Alligator mississippiensis: one gene and its partner. The protein of the gene in region 1 binds, or shares a complex with, the protein of each later gene. Links are inferred from orthologs where the notes say so. Each region holds a gene or a part of one and is shown on either strand. Other genes may lie near its edges.

Region 1 (10,197 bases):
TGGAATCCAGGTGTCCTGACTTTCAGCACACTCTGCTCTATCTGAGAAGAAATGTCTTGGGGGCAGAAGATAGGGCTGGATGGACCTGTGGGGCTGTCCTGGGGTGGGGTGCTGGGTGGATGGGCCCATCTAATTCACAGTAAATAGGCCCTGGCCACGGGTGGATGGCATTTCTAATCAGCAGGGATTTGGAGGCACATGGGGAAGATCCTCACTTAATACAGAGGGGGCAGGGGAAAACAGACCAGAGCCAGAGATATAGCCATCTCTGGGTCAGGGTGTATTGGGGGCTGTGTTTATAGGGAACTTTTTCCCCAATGCTGAGATGCAGCCACTTCTGGGGTGCAGCACTGCACTTTATAAAGGGCAAGAGAAGGATCTGAGAACAGAAACTAGACCCAATCCTGCCTCCAGCTGAATCTGCAAGGAGGACTGAAGGACTCCAAGGGCCATTGGCTTGGATTAGACCAGGACACCAGGGTTCTTTCCCTAGTCTCTGTAGAAAGAACAGGGGATCTTCGGAGATCAGAGAGGTGGGATATTGTCCAATAGGATAAGGGATCCAGGACACGGTGATCCCTACCATTGCCCAGGGACCAGTACTTGAGATGGGAGGTACCCCCTGTTGGATTTCTTCCCTCAGCAGGATGCCCCCACAACCCCCCTACTATGCTGCCTGCAACCTGGCATCCCTAGCATCCTCTACCCACTCCCCAAAGCACAGTGCCCCCCTTCTCAACAGCTTGGCACCTCTAAGCATCCCCTGCCCTTTTCCCTACCCCACAGTACCTCCTCCCAGCTCCCCTAGCACAGCAGCCTGAGCCCTCCCAGGCACCAGGCCTGAGCCCAGGTCCCCACCCAGCCCTGTACCATGAGGAAGCTGCCTGGCGCCTGGCCCTCAGCAGTTTGGCCACAAGACTTTTCCTGCTGCAAACCAAGGCTTCTTTGAAAGGGAAAACAACCAGCCATTGATTCCACAGAGCTGGGCGGGTGGGCTTCAGGATGGGGCAAACTGACTCCCTCCAGGGGGGGCTCCAGCCCCATCTACTTGGGGGGTGGGGGGCACTGTCTGGCTGAGGGGGTGGGGATGGGACAGGGACCTGTCCCTTCTAGGGGGTGCCCGTCTCTGGCCACGTGTATGGTGTCCACATTTCCAGTTGTTCTGCCCAAGGGCTGTAATTGTGGCAGGGAGGGCAGGGTTTGGACAGGGCAGGGATAAGCTGGGGCTGGCTCTCTGAGCTGGGGTGGGAGCAGTGTCTCTGCTGGGGGGTGTGCTATGCTCTGTGCTGTGGGTTTGGGTCTCTGCACTGAGAAGTGGGGGTGCTCTCTTTGTGCTGGCACCAGCTGTGGCTTTATGGAGGTACAGATGCCTCCCAGACGGTGAGGGGGGGACAGCAGCCACCTAGCAGTGGTTTAGGGTGTGTGTGGGGGAGGAACGGATTTTTCTCTCCCCTTTCCCAAAAGCAGCGGGAGAGGGAAGCACCCAGCACCCTACGATCCCCCTTAGCACCTCCCCCTGTGCAAGTAGAGCCAAACTTTGAGACTTTGCAAAAGCACATTCCTCCCTCCCTGACAGACAGACAGATATCCCCATACCCACCCAGACTAAAAGACAGGCACCCCCCACCCTGGGGACTGCAAGGGGCAGCAGCAGGGAGCAGGGTACCTGGGCAGGTCTGGGCACTCCTCTGAGACGCAGGCTGTGTCGCTCCCTCTCTTCTCCCTTCCCCTGTCTCTGCGTCTGTGCCTGAATAAATAGTAACTCCCCCCACACCCCTGGCAGCAGCCCCAGGAGGGAGGGGCCAGATGAGGATGTCCTGTGTCTGCTGGCTGGGGGGCTGGAACATGGGGCCCCCACCCCGAGAGAACACCCTCCCCAGCTGGCACCACATGGAGAGCACTGAGTCCCTGCCCTTGTTGTGTGTCTCCCCACTAGCCCTCCACCCTCTGTCCCCCTCAGACCATTGCATTGCAGGCACTGCCAGCCCGGGATTCCCTGGCATTGCAGGCTTCCCCACAGATTGGCCCAGACTGGGACCTTGGTTCCTTTCCCAATTTTGGGAGAGGAATGAAGTCTGGTGGGTCATAGCAGGAAGGCTGGCAGCCAGAACTCCTAGGTCCTATCCCAGCTCTAGAAGGACAGAGGTGCCTGGTGATAACAAGCAGGGGGGAGAGCCTGAGGTCCATTCCAGCTGTGGGAAGGGAATGAGGGTCTGGTGTGCTGGAGTGGGGGTACCTGGGTTTTGTCCCAGCTCTGGGGGAGGAGTGGGGTCTGGTAGAGGGTGCAGGGAGCTAGGATTCCTGGGTTCCATCTCAGTTCTGGGAAAGGGAGTGAATGTCTGGTGTGCTGGAGCAGAGAGGCTGGGGGCCAGGACTCCTGGGTTCTGTTGCAGTTTGAGGGGCAGCAGGTTGTAGTCTTGTGGATTACCATACTGCTAGGACTCCTGGGATCTCTCCCAGTTCTGGGAAGGGACAGTAATTGGCCACCTACTCAGAAGACAACTGGGTGCTGGTAGTTTAGGACCCCCCAAGACTGAGAATACTTGTCACTGATTGGGGAAGAGCTTTGGAAAAGTGGGGAATATTCAGTTGTCTTCCTGCCTAGAGCGGGGTGCTGAACCCGATGATCTGTGAGGTCCCTTCCAGCCCCTAACAATCTATGAATCTATGAAAAGAGAATCTGGACATTATAAATCCTTCAAATAATTTTGCATCCTTTTGGTATAACACTATAGACTGAAATTGTATATATGTTGGTTGAGGTTGTGGGGGAGGGGTGCACCTCCTCCCTGACTGGCAGAATGAGGCTTGGACCACAACACAGTCCCTGATTGGCTGAATGCTTTGGAACCTTGAATGGGGTGGGTAATTTAGCATTTAATTTGCTGACAAGTTGGAACGTTGAAAATCATTATCTAGGGGGATGTAGCTCAACCTGAGACTGGTTGACAGGGAGGCCAAGTTGGTTGTTCCCTTGGTCTTAAAATAGGACATGTGGTCTTCAAGCCATGGCTTTATGTTCCCCAGCACCAGCAGGAACCTCCAGGTGATGGCTGGGAGGGCGAGCTGCACTCCCATCTGGGGCTCCTCCCTGCCCTTTGCAGGTTTCAAAGCCACCAGCTTCCTTCCACCACTTGGCATATGTATGTGTATGGGGTTCTCCCTAGAGAAATACACCTCATCCCTCTTCAGCAGTTGTTTCCGCCAGGGCCTCTGACTTCCTCTCCTATTTTTGACAAGTCTAAAAAGACAGCCCCTACCCTACAGTCTCCCCAGTTCCTCTAGCAAACTCAGGGCACCAGGGCAGGGAGTTGGGGTGGAGTTCACTGGAGGTAGGAAGGGGCTGGTGGCATTTACTCTCTACATCATGCTTTTTTCAGAAGCTTATAAAGGAGCCACAGGAAACTGCGAGGGGCTAGGGGAGACCCTGGGGAATGTGGGGGCAAGAGGAGAGTGGACCCTAGGACAGATCCCACTGGGTCACCCCAACTTCATAGTTTCATAGTAGCTAGGGTCAGGAGGGACCTGAACAGATCATCTAGCCTGACCCCCTGCCACAGGTAGGAATGAATGCTGGGTTCAAAAGACCCCAGACAGGTGGTCGTCCAACCTCCTCTTGAATATGCCCAAGGTAGGGGCGAAGACCACCTCCCTGGGAAGTTGGTTCCAGATTTTGGCCACCCTAACTGTAAAATATTGCCTTCTGAAAGTGGCAAGGGGCTACTTCAAAGTGTAGCCCCAGAATCCTGGCTGTTCCAGGGAGCTCCCCAGAATGTCTGCCTCTTCCACAGACCTCAAATTGCACCCCTTTAGTGTTGCCCTCCAGGATGCAAAGAGAGCATTAGTCTTAGCTGTTGAACCCCCAAAGACTCTCCAAGCTCTCAAACTCAAGAGAGCCCCCCCCAACACTTCAGGCCCTGTCTGAGCAGGTGCCTCTCCAACCAAACTATCCTTCCCACCTTCCACACTCATTCAGCTGCTCCTCAAAACAACCCCCCCAAAAAAACTACCCCAAACCAGTGCTATGAAGCCAATGGCTGGAGGTTTCACACCATGGCAAAGGAAGAAAACTTCCCATTTTGAATGGAAACCCCAAAGCTCACAACATGACACCTTAGTGGAGTGTCTGATGGGAAGGGCTGGGGTGGACAGGAGTCTCTTGAGCCAGACAGGGATCTCCACTCCTGCTCACCCAGCTGGGGTGAGGAGGCTCTCACTTCCCACCTCTAGAGACACCCAGAAGCAGAAATACAAGAGAAGGAAGTTCCTCCTTGTGGCTGGGGAGAGGTTGCAGCAAGGGAGGGCTGGGAGCCAGGACACCCCAGTTCCACCTCAGCTCTGGGCAGGGAGTGGGGTCTGGTGGGTTGTTAGATCAAGGGAGATGGGGAGCCAGGATGCCCGGGTTCTATCCCCCTGGGTCAGTCTCTTAGCATCCTAGCAGGAGGCTGATGGAAGGGGGCTTCTCACTTGGCAACACCAGGCAGAGCGGTGTAGTGCAGGCCCTCTGAAACCGCACATCCAGCAGTCCCAGCTCAGGCCCGGGGGGGGGGGCAGGGCGGAGACGGGAGGAAGTATCGCTTTCCGCTCCCCGGAAACCCCTGCCCACTCAGATGCCTGGTGCCCTGGCAACTGTTGTGATGGTACAAACAGACGGGGGCAAGGGGGGGGGTCGGCTGTGGTTTGGCAGCTTTCTGGGCCGGACTGTGGTGTGCCGGGGTAGTCCGGCCTCTGACTCACGTGGCTGCAGACCGCCCACAAGGCTTCGTGGGGCACTGCATGCAAATGAGCTGCCCCCGGTCCCGCCCCGGGCACCCAGCCGACCCCTCCCCGCGCCCGGGAATCCCTGAGCAGCCTCCTGCATCTCCTACCCAGCACAGCCAGGCGGGGTGATGCGCATGCGTAATTCGCGCTCCTAAAGGGAGGAAGTGGAAGCAAATGGCGGGAGAAGCAAGGGGCGGGGCCTGTGCGTGGGCGGGGCTTTGGCGAAGGGAGGGGAAGGAGCTGTTGGCCTGGCGCATGGGTATTGTCACGCCTGGGTCCTGATTAGGAGGGATGGAGGTTCCCCCTCCCCAACAGGAGATCACAGTTGGCCTCATCGGGCCTGAGCTGGTGAGATTTCCCTCCTCTCCCCCCGCATGGGGCTGGGCAAGACCTGCTGTAGTCTTGATGTGACCTGCCATAGCCTTGGCATGACCTGCTGTGCTGTGGCCATGCTGTGTCCTGGGGTGGACACTGCCACTCTGTGGCCCAGGGGACCTGTGCTGGGCTTGCTGTGACTCTCTGGGCCATGTGCTGACCCAGGGGGGCTGCAGTGTCCCCCAGCTTGCTGGGGTCCTGTGACTTGGCATCTTCCTGTGGCATCTTGCCTAGATGTGGTCCCATGGGGCTGTGGTGTGATCTGACCTAATGGGCTGTTGGTGTGAAGAGGTCTGAAATGGTTGTGGCACAAGCTACTGTGGCTTGGGGATGTGATGGGACTGGAGCCACCCAAAGTGGTTTGCACATTATTAGGTCTTGGCATGAGCAGATGCGTGGTCATTACCCTTGGCTTTATGGTGCAGGCATGTGACGGGGCCTTGGCATGATCTGGTGGGGCCTTGGAGTGGTCTAATGCTGCAGACTTGTGATGGGGCCTTGGCATGACTGGTGGTGCCAGCTGAACTGAACCTTCCTCCCTGCTTTGAGCAGTGATGGTGCTGCTTGTCCGGACAGAGTGGCCCCTACCTGGCTGCGATGCCCTTTGGGATGAGGGTAGGGTTATGGCCATGCTTGGGCAGCACATTCCCTTACCCCACACTGCAGTCCCCATCTCGTCCCCCCTCCCCACCCCCCGTCATCTGCACCAGAGCTGGGGTGTCCAGTGAGGGGGTGGCATGGGAGTGTGGGACTGAAGGAGGTTCGGGGGGAGGAATTTGGTTGGGACTGAGAGTAGGGGTAGAGGCTGAGGGTTACATGGGTGGAAGGTATATGGATGGATGAGGTTGGAGTGGGGAAGGGGAGAAGAGAGGTCATGGGGGGGGGGGCTAGGGATGGACTGAAGGGGGTGATGGGAACTATGGAGGCATGGGAGAGGAGTGGGGGGTGGGCAGCCAGGGGGGAGTGGCATTGGAGGGTTGTTGGGGTGGGGGGGAAGGGAGGGGAGTTATGGGGGGAAGGGAGGGGGTAGTGGGAGGGGTGTTCAGCCCACATGCATTCTCCCCTGCCTGGCTCCGCCCCCAGGCTCCATCCAGCTCCTCCATAGGCTGAGATACTTTAACTTCCTGGAGACTGTAACTAACAACTGAGTTGGAGGCGGGTTGGAGGAGTGAGTGATGCAGAGACAGGGAGCAAGTGCCAGAGTCCCCTGCACCCTTTGGAGGCTGTGACCTCCCCCTCCCTCTGCCTGTGCCTGCTTGCGGCCTTCAAGGACCATCCAGAGGAGACCCAGGTATCCCCTGCTCCAGGTTCCTGGGAGGGCAGGGTTAGGAAGGGCTGAGAACAGGATTGCCCCATACCCACCCTGAGCTGACACCTTCTCCCTAAACTAGCCCCTTTGACTCACACCAAATCCCCAGCCCTCTCCAGAAATCACCCTCTCCCCAAAACAGCCCCCCAGCTTTCCTACCACCCTGATCTGCAAGCACCGTGTGAACCAGCTGTTATTTTGCCCCAGTTTCACCCCCAATGCTTCCCCTTCCCTCAGCCCAGCCCAGCTCCTTTAGCTTCTGTATTAAGTTCAAGGGCACAGCTCCCTGGGAGCACAGGGCTTGTGAGAGGGGTTGTTTTTACCTACTGTGCTGTGTCCCAGAAGCAGCCACCCTCTGAGGCAGTGTAGAGAGCTCCAGTGTCAAACCAGACGCCTCTGCTTGTCTGCCCCACATGTGATGCCCTGTGCTGCGTGGAGCACCCTGATATAAACCCCCGTTAAGCTGCCCTTAATGAGACCAGCAGCCTGGGAATAACTCCACAGTGCCCAGTTAATCTCTGTCTCCCTTTTTTGTGCCCCAACATCAGCAAGGAGGAGAAGATGCCGCTGCACCGCTCTGCCTTGAGCAACCGCTCTGACAGCAGTGACTTGGACCTGGATGGCATTGGTAATGGCTTTGCCGCAGGACCTCTATTGGGCCCTGTCCTGTCACATCCTGGTCCTAGGGACATGGTGCCCCATCTCTTAATTCTCAGCCCCTGAGGGCCTCTGCACACCACTACCCCTTTCCATGCTCCTCCCAGCTGGCCCCAGACAACCCCAAGATTTTAATTTGGCAGCCAGCCCTTGCCTCATAGGCCATGGGGTACCCGTACATAACCTCACCACACCAAGGCACCCCATATCCATACCCCCAGCAGGACAGACTGCCCTGCATTATGTCTTGGATCCACACCTACTCCCCCTAGGTCTGTGGCAATCACCTGGGTCAGGGGCAGTTCCTTAGCACCCTTAGGTGGGTATTGTGTCCCTTGCCAGGTCCCCGGGGTGGTCAGAGTGGGAGAAGGGCTTCCAGAGCCTGGTGGGAACAGCTTGGGGGTGGAAGAATATCTGGTGGGAGGAGTCAGGGAATGTTGTGGGGGCAGCACCTTGATAGAATATCTTGGGGTCTGGGCATAAGGTGTTTGCGTCATGGCAGGTATCATCTTGTGATGTCATGGGCCCATGTTGTGATCTCATGGGATCTTGGCATGACATCCTGGAGCCTTGGCATGAGGAAGTTATGCAGTGGCAGACAGGGCCTTGTATAATGTCATGGGATTTTAATGTGCCGTCATGTGGGTTGCCTGTGAGAAGGTTAGCATGTGGAAGGCATGGCCTTGGTTTGATGTCATGTGGCCACAGTGGGCCTTGGCATATCATGGGTCTTGTGTATGAGGATTTGGGCCATGATAGGTCAGGGCCTTGGTGTGATATCATGGGGTCTTGGCATGACATCATATGGCTGGGCTGCAAGGAAGTTGGGCCACATTTTGGATGTGTGGGAGGGGCTGGGCCATGGCAGGCAGGACTGTGGCTAGAGCCCTTCTCTGATGCCCCTCTCCCTGTGGCTTTTCCTGGCCCTTCAGCTGAGAGCGAGCTGGCCAAGCTACAACGCCAGTTCCGCCTGCTAGAGGGTGACCGCCGTGCCTATGCCCAGGAGTCGCAGGAGACCATCCGCAGGCAGCTGTATGTACCCCTGGGTGGGAGGGGCCCAGTACCATACCTGCAGGATCAGGTGCACAGGACATACACATGCACACACACACTGTGCCTCCCATATGCTGGGCAGCACAGATACACTCCCCCCTAGAATGCTGATATATCACTGACATCACGCACATTCCCCTAGCAACTCACCTGGAACCAGCCCTCTACACCAGGCTGGGTCACTGCACTGCACTGCACTGCACATAGGCACTTACACACACACACACGCACACACACCATCACACTTACACACCCAGAAGGTCACACAAACTCACGTGAGATCTTTCACATAAGATCTGCTGCTCACATACCCTCACCAGGTCTCATGCATCAGTCTGCACGCTTACCTGCAGGCTCACGACCAGGATCTTTCACACACAAGACTATAGGGACATCAGGTGCACACAACCTCCCATGCACTTGCACTCACAAGACTGCATGCTCAGATTCATGCATGAGGTCACATGCACAAAATCTTGCGAACACTCAGTGACAGGCCTGTGACACACAAGATCCCACACTTGTGCACAAGATCACATCTGAGATCTTGTACTCACATGCAGGATTGTATATGCACAAGGCTCCCCACACCCACTCAGCCACAAGACCATAGATGCACAACAATTTGCAATCTCGTAAGACTGCATACACACAGAAGCGCACACACAGGCACACTTGCACAAGATCACCCACACGCTTGATGTGGGATCTCTGATGCACAAGTCACACTTGTATACAAGACTGCACACATGAGATCACACTCATAAGATTACATGTGCATGAGATCACTTGGACTCAAGATCCAAAGCCCACCAAATCTCACCCTTGTGAATAAGCTCACATTCACCCACATGGGTGGTCAACTCAGGTATCTGACACATGGCATTCTGTGCCCACATGGGGACTCCATGCTCACAACTGTGCACTGAGACTTCCTTGCCTTGCTGGGCACCTGGTAGTCACAACATCCTAGATCTCAGCACAATCCACCAGTTCACTGCTGCCACACACCTAGCATCATTACTGTGCCCTCTCCTTGTCTTAGCCCTGGGTCCCCCTTCCTCTTCTCTTTCTCTCTGTCGTGCCTGGCCCTCTCCTTTTGACCTCGTCATCCACCAGTGGCACAATCTGGCACCCCCTCATATCACCAGGAGTCCCTCCCTGCCCCACTACCCCTGCCTGCCACCCATTGCAGCTGGCCAGTCCTTTGTTTTGGTCAGGGCTGAAATCCACAGGCTGGAGAAGGAGCAGGAAGGGCTGCTGAAGGAGCTGCAGCTGGCAGAGAGCAGGGCCAACCAGCTGCGGGAGCGGGCACAGGCAGGCAGCTTGCGCGCCATGCTGCAGCACAAGGACCAGACTCAGGAGCAGGTGGCCCAGGAGAGGAGGACACTGGCATGTCTGGATCTGGAGGTACCAGCTGGGCTGGGAGAGGGAGCCAGAATGCCTGGGTTCTACCCTGGTTACGGGGGAGGGTGGGGGAAGGGGCATGAGGTGTGGTGGGTTAGAGGAGTGGGGCTGGGAGCCGGGACACCTGGCTTCTATCCCAGCTCCGGATGGGAGTTGGGGTCTAGTGGATGAAAGCATAGTGGGGGAATGTGCTGCGCTGACCAGACTGGCTCTTCCTGGGCTTCTATTATCTTTCATTCCCTTGGTGATGGGATAGAAGACATCACTAGCTCTCAGGCAGCTACCAACAGTCCCCTGCATGATGCTCTGGGGCATCCCTGAGTGCTTTGGGCAGCAATACCTGGTCTCTCCCCAGTGAATGGGCAAGTGGTTGTGAGCAGTGGGACCATCCCACAGTGCACTACAGATGATTACCCAGCAGCCACTGCTGCATTCAGGGGGCACACCTGGCTGAAGTATGTGAATCTTACGGACCCTGGTGCCCGCCTTTCTGCCTGGCAGATCCAGAGCTGGGAAAAGCGGCTAGCGGAGCTGCAGAGGCATGCGGGCAGTGCTGGCATCACTGAGCGGGACAAAGCCCAGATACAGAAGAAGGTGCAGACCCTGGAGAACCAGCTGAACAGGGTAAGGGGACA
Region 2 (11,048 bases), about 140 Mb from region 1:
GGCCACTCCCCCAGCCCCCTGGATCCCTGCCGGGGCCGGCCCCTCCCCCCACCAGCCCCCCTGAGCCCGCTGACCCCTGGCAAGGCTGGCCCCTCCCCCCACCAGCCCCCCTGAGACCCCCTCCCCTGGCGAGGCTGGCCTCTCCCCCCGCCAGCCCCCTCGACCCCTGGTGAAGCTGGCCCTGCCCCTGCCAGCCACCCTGAGACCCCCTCCCCCTGGCAAGACTGGCCCCTCCCCCTGCCAGCCCCCCCGAAACCCCCTCCCCCTGCTGGGGCTGGCCCCTCCCCCTGCCAGCCCCCCCCCCAAGACCCCCTCCCCCCGGCAAGGCTGACCTCTCCCCCTGCCAGCCTCCCCCGAGACCCCTGGCGAGGCTGGCGCCTCCCCCTGCCAGCCCCCCTGAAGCCCCCTCCCCCTGGCGAGGCTGGCCCCTCCCCCGCCAGCCCCCTGGAGACCCCCGACCCCTGCTGGGGCCGACCCCTCCACCCGCCAGCCCCCCAAGACCCCAGACCCCTTCCAGGGCTGGCCCCTCCCACCACCAGTCCCTCCCCCCTGAGACCCCCGACCCCTGCCCTGGCCAACCCCATCCTCCCAAGCCCCACCATCCCTGCTCCCCCCCCATAGCTTAAAAAAACAAAACAAAACAACAACAACAAAACCCGGCACTTACCAGCAGTTCAGCTGCCATCTGGCTGCCTGAGGCCCCGCCCACACAGTGCGGGGCAGGGTGACAGCCCCAGCGGCCCAAGTCCGGGCCCTGCTGCCCCCCCCACTGTCCTGGTACTGCATCGGGGGGAACTCTGCCAGGAGACCCTGGCGCACCCCCCCCCCCGCTTCAAAGGTAAGCAGAGGCTTTTTTTGGGGGGTTTTGTGATGGTGCCTGGGGTTGTAGGGTTAGCCATGGGGGCCTGGGGGTGCAAATTGGGGGCTGGGAAAGCCATTGGGAGGTCTGGGGGGGGTGGAGCTGGGTGGGGCAGCCATTGGGGGGGCTGCAGCAACTGGTGCAGGATGGGGCTGAGGGGGGCAGCAGTTGGGGGGGCATGTGGGCCTTGCAGGGGTGTGATAGCCTCTGCGGGGGGCCATTTGGCCCCATTGGGGGGCGTACCCCTTGTGTGGGGGCTGAACCCCCCTTTAGGGGGCTGAACCACTTGTTTGGGGCTGGACCCCTTGTGGGAGTGCAGCAAAACGTGTATTCATGAAATCTGTATTTAGAGTTCACTTTATTATTATGATAAGAGACTTGCTTTACCACTGTAGATCTATCAATAAAACATTGTCCAACTGATCATTGTCTCTGTCTTGCTCTCTCTCTCTCTCTTTATAGTGGTCTTTTGTTTTACTTGTGGAGGAACGTGGATTTGGGGGTATTTTACAGAGTGACTTTTGGATTTTGTTTATCAGGGATTTTTCAGTTTTCCAGTAGGAAACACCAGAATTCCTGCTAGGGAGGCCAGCAGGGTCCTGGCACTTTCTCAGAGCTGGCACCTTGGACCCAGCTGGCTGTGGCTGACCTCCTGGACAAATGGGGCCAGGAGGACATGCTTTGACAGTTCAAAGCAGGCCACCACACCTGGAACATCTTCCGAGCGATAGCTGCCCAGATAGCTGGGCAAGGGGCACACAGGGCAGTAGTGCCGTACAGAGGCCAACCCTGCAACCACAGTCCACTGGCAGCTAGCCCAGAGGGGCAGATGCCTCTACTGGCTGTGCAGTCCCTATCCAGGTCTGGCAGGTACGCAGCAGGTCACAGCCAGGCAGCAGCCCCCACTGCTAGACCCCTGCAGTGGGTAAAGGTGCAGGGAACTCTCAGGGCTGCTTCAGCAGTCCAGCTGGCACAAGGGGCAGTGTCTCCAGGTACCAATTTGGCTGGGCCCCAGAAGCTCCTGACAGCGAGTAGCCCTGAGCTACTTGCCAGGGCGGCTTTATATATTGCTGGGGCCAGGTTTCTGCTAGGGCAGCTTTCTTTACTGCTGGGGACAGCACAGGTGCTGGCCCCAGGCTCTAGCTCCCCCTGGCTGCAGATCTGGGAGGAGCCAGGCAGGGTTATTTTGCTCCACACCAAAGTGCATGTCAGCACGTGTGCTGAAGCAAAAAGCCCTGGCTCAAATTTGCACTGCTTCTATTTGAGCTGCAAGTGCACGTGCTTGCATGTGTGGACGTGCCCAGTGAATGCAAAGCAGCTTATTTAATGAAACCAGAGTATGCTTAAACTGTTACTGCAGAATAGCTGATGAATTTTAAGTTCCCAGCTTGCCTGCCTAGTGATAACTTACATGCTCATACGTGGCAGTCATCCAAAGGCCTAGTTAAGAGATTTAAAATCCTGAATATATCAAATAAGATAAATCTAGATCTTCCCTGCTGATATAGCCATTTTATCTTGCTATCTGACACATTATTTTGCTGGCTTGACAGCACTCTAGTAAAGCATCACATATTCCATAACAGCCTAAAAGGAAGAGCCAGCATTAAAGGCATACAAAGACTTCAATTAGAATGGTTTGTTTTAGGCTGCAGGGGAGAACATCAATCAGGAAATCTAGCTCACCTTTTTTTCCTTTTCTTTTTTTTCTTCAAGTGTACGTTTTGGCAACTTTCCCGTCTTGCATAAACCAGTATTTCTTTCATGTGCAAACTAGTAACAAGCTGCTGTTTGTAACTTTTCAATTAGTGCAGTCCTTGATAGTATGAAGCATTTCTATTTTGCTTTTCATTTTACTAATTAACACTTCAAAATTACTTGCAAGATAGTCACAGCAACAGCATCACCCTTGTTATGTTGCAGTAAAATTAAAATAAAACACACAAATTACATGAAAATATGACTTTGGCTATAAAGTAAAGCTCTCTACAATTAAGAGTCTATTAATTTTGCCTTTACAACTTTATTCTCCTCTGAAACTTCTCCCTAGCACTTCCGTGTGATGAGAAGAGTTAGATCCAGGTTGGCACCCCCTCCTTGGAAATCTCCCCTTAGTGACTTGGTGTTGGGAAGCGCCAGGCTCAAGCTGCTTCAGTACCCTGCTATAAACCCCTATATGTGAGGTGACCATACTGCTGCTGCTGTCTAGCCACCTGCCTTGGCTCACCATGCTGCTTCACTTCCCTGCTGGACTCTGGCCTGGAACTTCTGGCCAACCATCTGGGACCAAGCTACACAATCCTGGAGTGTCCTGGCCAAAGTGGGACCTATGGTCACTCTACCTATATACCAGTACAGTAGCTCCCCTCCCAAGCAGCCAAACCCTCAACACTACGGTTTGGGGAAGAAAGTAAACTTTAGTGCATTAACACTTATCCTTCACTCCTCTCTGTCAAGGATAGAAACCTAACTTGTTTCAGCAAGACTGCCATATCAGTCTGCTCTCAGTACCCCTGCTCCAGAAGAGCTGTTCGGACACTGCAGTGCCAAACAGCCTGTCTCCAGCATGTCAGAGCTGAAGACTAAGGGCAGCAACGTTTGTTTACAAGTGTATATCATGTCCCACTACAGAGACAACAGCGGCCTTTTCTACTAATAGATTAAAAGATCCTTTTGTGGACCTAAGGTTACTTCATCAGATGAAGTTTAGGCTCAGGGATGCTTATCCATCTCCAATTTAATTAGTTTAAGGTGCACCTCTACCCTGACTTCTGCTTGACTTTAGACTAACACAGCTCACTACCACTCTCTTTTCTACTAATACCTCTGTCAGCACTGGAGAAAGCACGATCACTCCATTTATCAACTGTTTCCTTAGGGAAGTGGTGGGAATCATTGTCAACACAGCAGCATCTGCTCAGCACCTTCCTCTGATGAACTGTTTTCTGTAGGACGGCGCCTGCACATGATCCTTTCCACATCTCTTTTGTGTGAGGAAAGTGGCCATCCTTAGAGCTGACATAGCTTTTTAAAGGGCAGTAAACTGACATCTAGAAAGACTATTATAACACTTTGTCACTATGCAGCCTATGTCATAAGAAACATTTCCAGCTGCGTATACTGCTGCCACCACCGCACCTCCTCCCAGCCAAAATCATATTTGCAGCATCCTTGGGCCACTACAGGAACCGTTTACATGCAGCTTCTTTCCATTTTCAGCTACAAACATCCAAGCTCTTTGGTGACAGGAGCCAGTGCTTTTGCAGGAGCACACCTGAAGAAGAAGAGGCCAACCTGGGAAATCTCCAGAGGCTTTAAGTGACTGCATCACACACCACAGTTCTGAAGCTTTTCTGGCCCGCAGGCTCTCCAAGGTGGCCTAGTGAAGCGGCTCAGCCAGCCACCTCGCTGGACAAAGGGAGGCCGCCTGGTGCAGAGCAGCCCTGGGGCCCAACCCTGAAGTTTCCCCACGTGCTCGAGCCGCTGGAGCGGAATCCCCGCAGCGCCTCTGCGGCGGGGGGGACCCGGCCTAGGCTCCCTGTCGGGGGGCGGGCCGATGCTGCGGCCCGGAAATCACCTGCTGGCTGGGGCGCCCGGCGCGGGGGCGGGGACTGCCTACCCTATCCCCCTTGGGGCGCGGCCTCACCTCGGTCCATGATCATGTCGTCGGTCATGCCGAAGGTGAGGTGCAGGACGCTGCGGAAGGCGTTGCGGTCCAGCCCCGCGGCGCCGCGGCGCTCGCCAGCCTCCGGCACCAGCGTGTGGAAGAGCCGGATGAGACACTCCACCTCGGGCCGACGGACTGCGCACGGGCACAGCGCGGCACGGGTCACGGCCTGGCCGGGGAAAGCCACGCGCCCCCGCCCCCGCGGCCCTTGGGAGGGGGAGGGGGCGGGGGACGGGACTCACAATGCCTAGCGCTGCGGTTCAGCGCCTCCGCCTGCTTCTGCAGCTTCTTCCTGTTCATGGCGCCGCCGGGCCCGGCAGCTGCTGCGGGACGCCGCGCGGTTACCGCAGCAACGGGAATGGCACCAGCCAATCAGCGAGCAAGAAGCGCAGGGGCCCGAGGCCACGTGGCTGAATAGCCGGAAGCTTGAGCATGCGCAGTTTGGCCCCGCGGGCAGGTGGACACAGCCGGACTCCCGCCGGTTCCGGACGAGTCTCGGGGCCTATCGAGCCTCAACACCCCCTGCCCCGCTTTTGCGCGTCCCTGTGCCCCACGCCCCGGCCAGCACAGTCCGAACACATCCGAGCCGGGACAACCCCCGGCGCCAGTCTAAGCCCTGCAAAGGGGGGTCGACGACAAGTCCCGGGCTTCATTTACCGCTGCAGACAGTTACTTGCCTGTACTTACCCTTCTCGTCTTCCAGGTTTTCACCGCAAATTAGTAGCTGTAGCTCACAAGTCCTTGCTTCAGGTTTAATACCTCCAACTCAACCAAGCTCGGCCTGCTCGAGAATAAAATACTTTGCCACGATCAAGGTTCTGGCTGAAATATGGCACAAACCGGAGTAGGAGGCAAGCAGCGGTGGCAACCCAACAGGCACAAGCCCGCTAGTTCTTCCAAAACGAAGGAGTTCAGTACGGAGCAGGAGTAAAAGAGCAGCCTAGCACTTTCTAAGATCAACTACTAGCATCCACCTCCTCTTTTTGTCATTCCTACTTGTATTACAGTATGACTAGGCTGTTTAAAGAATATTCTACACTCTCAAAATGTAATAGCCTGGGACTTCTGCTAAGGCAGGCACCCACATTCAAAATGCAGAATCACGGTGTATATATGACACACTGACTACTCTCATCATGTCTTGGTTAGCTTACAGATTTGAAGTTCTTCACTCTAGGGTTTGGTATATAAAATACCCATATACATTTTCAGAAGTCTGTACACTTACAACTTCTTGTAGCAGGTGATGTGTTTACACAGGTATTCAGCATCTCTGATAGTCAGGTCATTTTTATTTTAGCATCCAAGAACACACAAGGGAAAGCTGGTTTAGGCACACAGGGATGTCACAAAATCATTTAACCTGTTTAAATGTATACGCTTAACTTACCTAGTAATTACCAAGTAGGCTGTAACCTACAAAAACTTCTACCTCTCTGAACAAGTTAGCGTATAACAGTAGTGGTTTGACCTTTTTAGACTCAATGCATCCCTCGTTAAGCCCCTCCTTGAAAAATGCCACCTCTTCATTTTCACTTATTTTGACTACAGAAAAATAGAACAATTTTTCTGTTGCAAAGTACTCAGAAAGACCACAACAGCTAAGAAGGTTTTTGACGCTATGGATTTATTTTTGAAATCTCTTGGTTTATTTTGAGTCATGTTTGCACACCTAATGGTACTAATGTTACATGACACCTCACAGCACCCTTAAAAAGGACTCCACAGCACCTCAGAGTATTGTGGCACCCAGGTTGAGAATCCCTGATATATAAAGTACGACCCTGCTCTGCCTTTTGGCCTAAACATGACGAACCATACCTCTTTCCAAAGAAAAAAAAATATGCAGGGCATAACGAACTTATTCCTCATGTTGTTTCACAGGTAGACAGCAGGAACAGCATACATTAACTGAAAATACTGTTACCAGAGCCACACTTAAAAGGAATTACTTTAATGGATAAGGAACTTTTAATACGTACTGATTCAACCAGTGTTGAGATCTCTGAGTCTTTTTAGAAATGAGCCATCAAGAATGCTACTGTGTATGAGAAGGCAACAGATTCGTGTTCAGAACAAAACACATCTTTATCACATGTAAAAGGACAAAACTGAGCAAAGGCAATAATTTAGTTTCAAAATTCTAAGAGTATTTTTGGAAACCCATAAAGCTAGCCATTTATTAAAATACTTTATAAATTACTACCTTATTACTTCTTGAAGCAAGTTGGATAAAAAACACACTTAAAATATTTTAAACAAGCATAACATTTTACTTTCTTTTATTCTATAGTCTTTTTGTCTTGACCCTTAAATTATTTTTCTAATTTCTAGTACAATTTCAGATTTTTTTTTATCTGCTAAAAATTCAGTTAAAATGTTCATCTATGCTGGCCTCATTAGCATTCTGGCTGGGAGAAGAACAAAAATTGAGCACAAAATTAATAAAGAAAAGTAGTCTTGGCTGTTTTTGCAAACGTGACCCTCCTGATGTAATGAGCAAAGATGAGACAGAAATCAGAAATTTCACTCTTAGTAACCAAATGTTAGGTCCTATATTTTGGGAGGCGGGGAGGATATTTTAATACACACACATATTATTGTACACATACACACATATCCGTGTGTGCGCATGTAGCTCACAATAGATTTATTTATGGACAAAAAAAAAATCAGAGTTTTTCAGTGTTAAATACTAAAGCAATTTGGTTTTGAAGTGACAACAATTTTATGCCACTAAATTTTTTTAATTAATATATACAATATAAGACCTTGATGCTGCAAACATTTTTGTCCATGCTGTATTGAAAGCACACGTCTAGGAAGCTTAAGTAAATGAGACTATTTGTATGAGTAACATTATGTATTTGCTTATGTGTTGGTAGCATCTGCACACTTGTTTTCAATGATACATATTTTTTGCCTCTAGCAGTTGTGTAAAATTCAAATATGATCTTTCCATTTGCAGTATTTATAATGTAATTAATTCAAAGTTGTAATAGCACAATTTTCACAATAGTTTTTCAAAGCCTCAAAGCTGATTTAAACCAGTGATTTAAAAAAAAGAGAAATAAAATGATCATTCTACCATTCTTTGAATTCTTTCCCAATAATGACCTAATAGTTGTAGAAATTGTCAGTTTTCAAACCTAGCTGACTATAATTTTATTTCTAAGACATTATTAACAGTGATAGTCTGCATTTTAAGACAAAACCAGAACATTTCAATCACCTGCTTGAAGAGAAATGTATTTGACAGAACACTAGTAAAATATTACTCCTTCCCAGTCTCCCTCACCACTTTTTGTTTATGAATTGCAAATTATTAATCATTTAACAAGAGATATTAAAATGTTGTGGTAATTAAATGTTTGGCTTTAAAGTATTAAACTTTTCATGGTTAGTACATACCATTTGTACTTAGGGTAATATGTGGATCATTATTCACATTTTTTCCTACTCTTGAAAGGCAAGAACAGAACCAGCAATAGGGACTTCACTGAAAGAGAGAAAGAACTTCATCTATAAGAAGAAAACCTAAGGATTCCTTTTGGATTTTGAGTGTGTATTTGCTATTTTATCAACATTTTTCTATTTGTTTATGAAATAGCTGCTAATGCAAGTAAATTAGCCTAGACAATTTATGTTAATACCCTACAATTCTGCAGCACAAAAATATAAAGACAAAATTTTTAAATGGTATCTTTACTGAGAATCTGGCAGTAGTTGTATATAACAAGACACAGCTGCATAACAGGTCTGTCACTGAACTTGCCTAGAGTAAAATCAGCTTCAATATGAAGCTGTTTAAATATCAAAACCCTGCTTTTTACATGCTAAATAATTTTCAGCAAGTGTGCACTCAAACACAACAATGAACTATAAGAATAAGTAAATACATACATGAAACTCTGCACCTGGAACAAATTCATAAAAAAATAATCACTGGTTATAACTGAATACCTCTATATTGTTAATTTAAAAAAAAATGGTACAAACATGCAAAATAATTCTAAGTATCTTAATGGCAAGGCAAAAAGAAAAAAAACTACCAGTGTTTGCCAAAGATATTCAACAAAATTCAAAATTACTTTAAATGATGTAATGCATATTTAGTAACACAGTATTCAGCATAATTCAAAGTGGAGGTAAATTCCTTGATTTTTGCATGTTAGTTATGCTGCAAAATGTCACTGCTCTTGCTTAATGCCGAAGCACATGCTAGAAGCCCAGAATTGCTTATTCAGGAACAGCTTGCTGACAGTAGTTCTGACCTCCCGAGGAAGCATAGTTGCTGTACTGATTAAAATAGCTGGGATTTAGAAAGATCAAAGGCACCCTATTCAACTAGTCAAAATAGTAGCTCCCCCCTCAACATAAAAAAGTAAAAGGACAGAAGTACAGTAAACATTTCTACAAAAGTAACATGTTTAAGAATGTTACCATTATATTCCCATTTCAAAAGAAACATCAGTCACTAACTTTCAACAGCTCCATTGAATTAAATTCATCTTCAGGATGAATCCTGGATTATGCTTCTGCTGGTTTAAAAATTAGAGTTTAAAATACTACTTTTTGTATCTAAAAAGTTTCACTTATTTTCCAATATTTTACATATCAGCTGAACCATCATCTTTTATGATTTCAAATATCTAGCGCTGGCTACTGGAATTAAAAAAATGCTGTACCCCATGTATTAAGCAGCAGGCAATAACAATGTTCTTTTCTGGTGCAGCAGCATCTGTCCGGCTATTGAGAGATTAGGAGTATTTCTAAAACACAGGAAAATTCATGCAGTTTGGTAAAGTTTGCTATAATTTCACAGTTGAAGTTTCCTTTAGTCATTGCACTTTTGTTGAAAGGGTATTCTTGTACTTCTAAATGTTATTCAGAATCTGAATTTGAACCAGCAGTCTTCTTTTTCTTCTTTTTACCATGTTTCTTGTGCTTCTTTCTCTTTTTCATTTTATCCTTAAAAACAGTTAAATAATGGAAGTTATTTTATGAGTTAAAGTCAATTTAAAAAATAATGTAATGAAGAGGTGCAGGTGCATTTATGGAGTTTAATACAAAATCATTTACAATAAGATTACTATAAAAATCTAAATATCAATGATACAATAACATTACAAAGCAGGAAAAGACAATGCAAAGCATTACAAAAAGATGGAATATTATTGTTTTCAAATTTAGCTCATTCTGATTTCCCAAGAGGTGTGAAATAGCCAGTACCATTTGCTTCCTTATCTTGTAAGTCACAGTAATGCTTCATGAATTTGAGAAATCAATAAACTAACCACTTGAGAAACAATGGCATCTCACATATGCGAGAGTGGAAAAGAAGCCCTATGTTACCACAATTATCTATTTATTCATTAATTACATTTCAGCTGATTTTCTGTTTATGACAAACTCAGTTAAACTGTATTAGGTTTTGACTTCCAATATTTGCACCTTAATTTGTGGTAACAAACTCAGACAAAAAAAACACAGTTGCTAAAGCAAAGGCAGCAGGGTCAGACCCTGATGTTAGTGTTCTCAGCACCATAATATACAACGTTAAGTGAACAATCCTCCTGTACTTAGGAAGAATTCCTAATGAAATTCTGCCTGAGTGAGGCATACAAGACCAGGTCCTATGTTATGCAATAAGAACGATGAATATGTTAAGCTACATTGATACATAGCTTACGGATACCAGACTGCCATGCGTAGACCCTGAGATGGTGCAGAGTCACTTGGAGGAACTGGTTGCCTTTAAGTCGGCAGGCCCGGATGAGCTCCATCCGAGGGTACTGAAGGCACTGGCTGACGTCATTGCACAGCCACTGGTGGTAATATTTGAACATTCGTGGCGCATGGGCCAGGTCCCGGAGGACTGGAAAAGGGCCAATGTGGTCCCCATTTTCAAGAAGGGGAGGAAGGAGGACCCAGGCAACTATAGGCCAATCAGTCTCACCTCCATCCTAGGCAAAGTCTTAAAAAAAATTATCAAGGCTCACATTTGTGAGAGCCCGGCAGGACAAATTATGCTGAGTGGAAACCAGCACGGGTTAGTAGCAGGTAGATCATGCCTGACTAATCTAATCTCTTTTTATGACCAGGTTATAAAATGCCTGGACGCAGGAGTAGGGGTTGATGTTGTATACTTAGACTTCAGGAAGGCCTTCGATACGGTATCCCACACCATACTGGTAAACAAGTTAAGAGGCTGTGACTTAGATGACTACACAGTCCAGTGGGTGGCAAATTGGCTAGAGGGTTGCACCTAGAGAGTCGTAGTGGATGGGTCGGTATCGACCCAGAAGAGTGTGGGCAGTGGAGTCCCGCAGGGCTCGGTCCTTGGACCGATACTCTTCAATATCTTGGGGGTTGGACTCGATCTATTGAGGTCCCTTCCGACCCTAGCATCTATGAATCTATGATAGTAACCTAATGTATGCTATACAGGCAGTCCTAGACTTATGACTGTTTGAGTTATGACAAATGGCACCTACGACCGTTGTAAATTACAACAGTTTC

What was found.
Region 2: ODAD1 (region 1) and CLXN share a complex: the UniProt entries of both Homo sapiens proteins name them as parts of the outer dynein arm-docking complex. The link is inferred for Alligator mississippiensis from reciprocal best matches to the Homo sapiens genes ODAD1 and CLXN.

The regions. Positions count from the first base shown.
Region 1 is NC_081828.1:38,585,129-38,595,325, forward strand, and holds the start of ODAD1 (outer dynein arm-docking complex subunit 1), read left to right. Parts: upstream 1-4,992; 5' UTR 4,993-5,109; intron 5,110-5,561; exon of another isoform or gene 5,562-5,751; intron 5,752-6,219; exon of another isoform or gene 6,220-6,427; intron 6,428-6,993; exon of another isoform or gene 6,994-7,006; coding exon of another isoform or gene 7,007-7,073; intron 7,074-8,034; coding exon of another isoform or gene 8,035-8,134; 5' UTR 8,135-9,034; coding exon 9,035-9,565; intron 9,566-10,063; coding exon 10,064-10,186; intron 10,187-10,197. UniProt on the Homo sapiens protein: Component of the outer dynein arm-docking complex (ODA-DC) that mediates outer dynein arms (ODA) binding onto the doublet microtubule. Involved in mediating assembly of both ODAs and their axonemal docking complex onto ciliary microtubules.
Region 2 is NC_081828.1:175,511,143-175,522,190, reverse strand, and holds the start of CLXN (calaxin), read right to left. Parts: upstream 4,873-11,048; 5' UTR 4,827-4,872; coding exon 4,769-4,826; intron 4,662-4,768; coding exon 4,506-4,661; intron 1-4,505. Other genes in the region: protein FAM133B, read right to left, coding at 9,411-9,497. UniProt on the Homo sapiens protein: Component of the outer dynein arm-docking complex (ODA-DC) that mediates outer dynein arms (ODA) binding onto the doublet microtubule. Seems to regulate the assembly of both ODAs and their axonemal docking complex onto ciliary microtubules.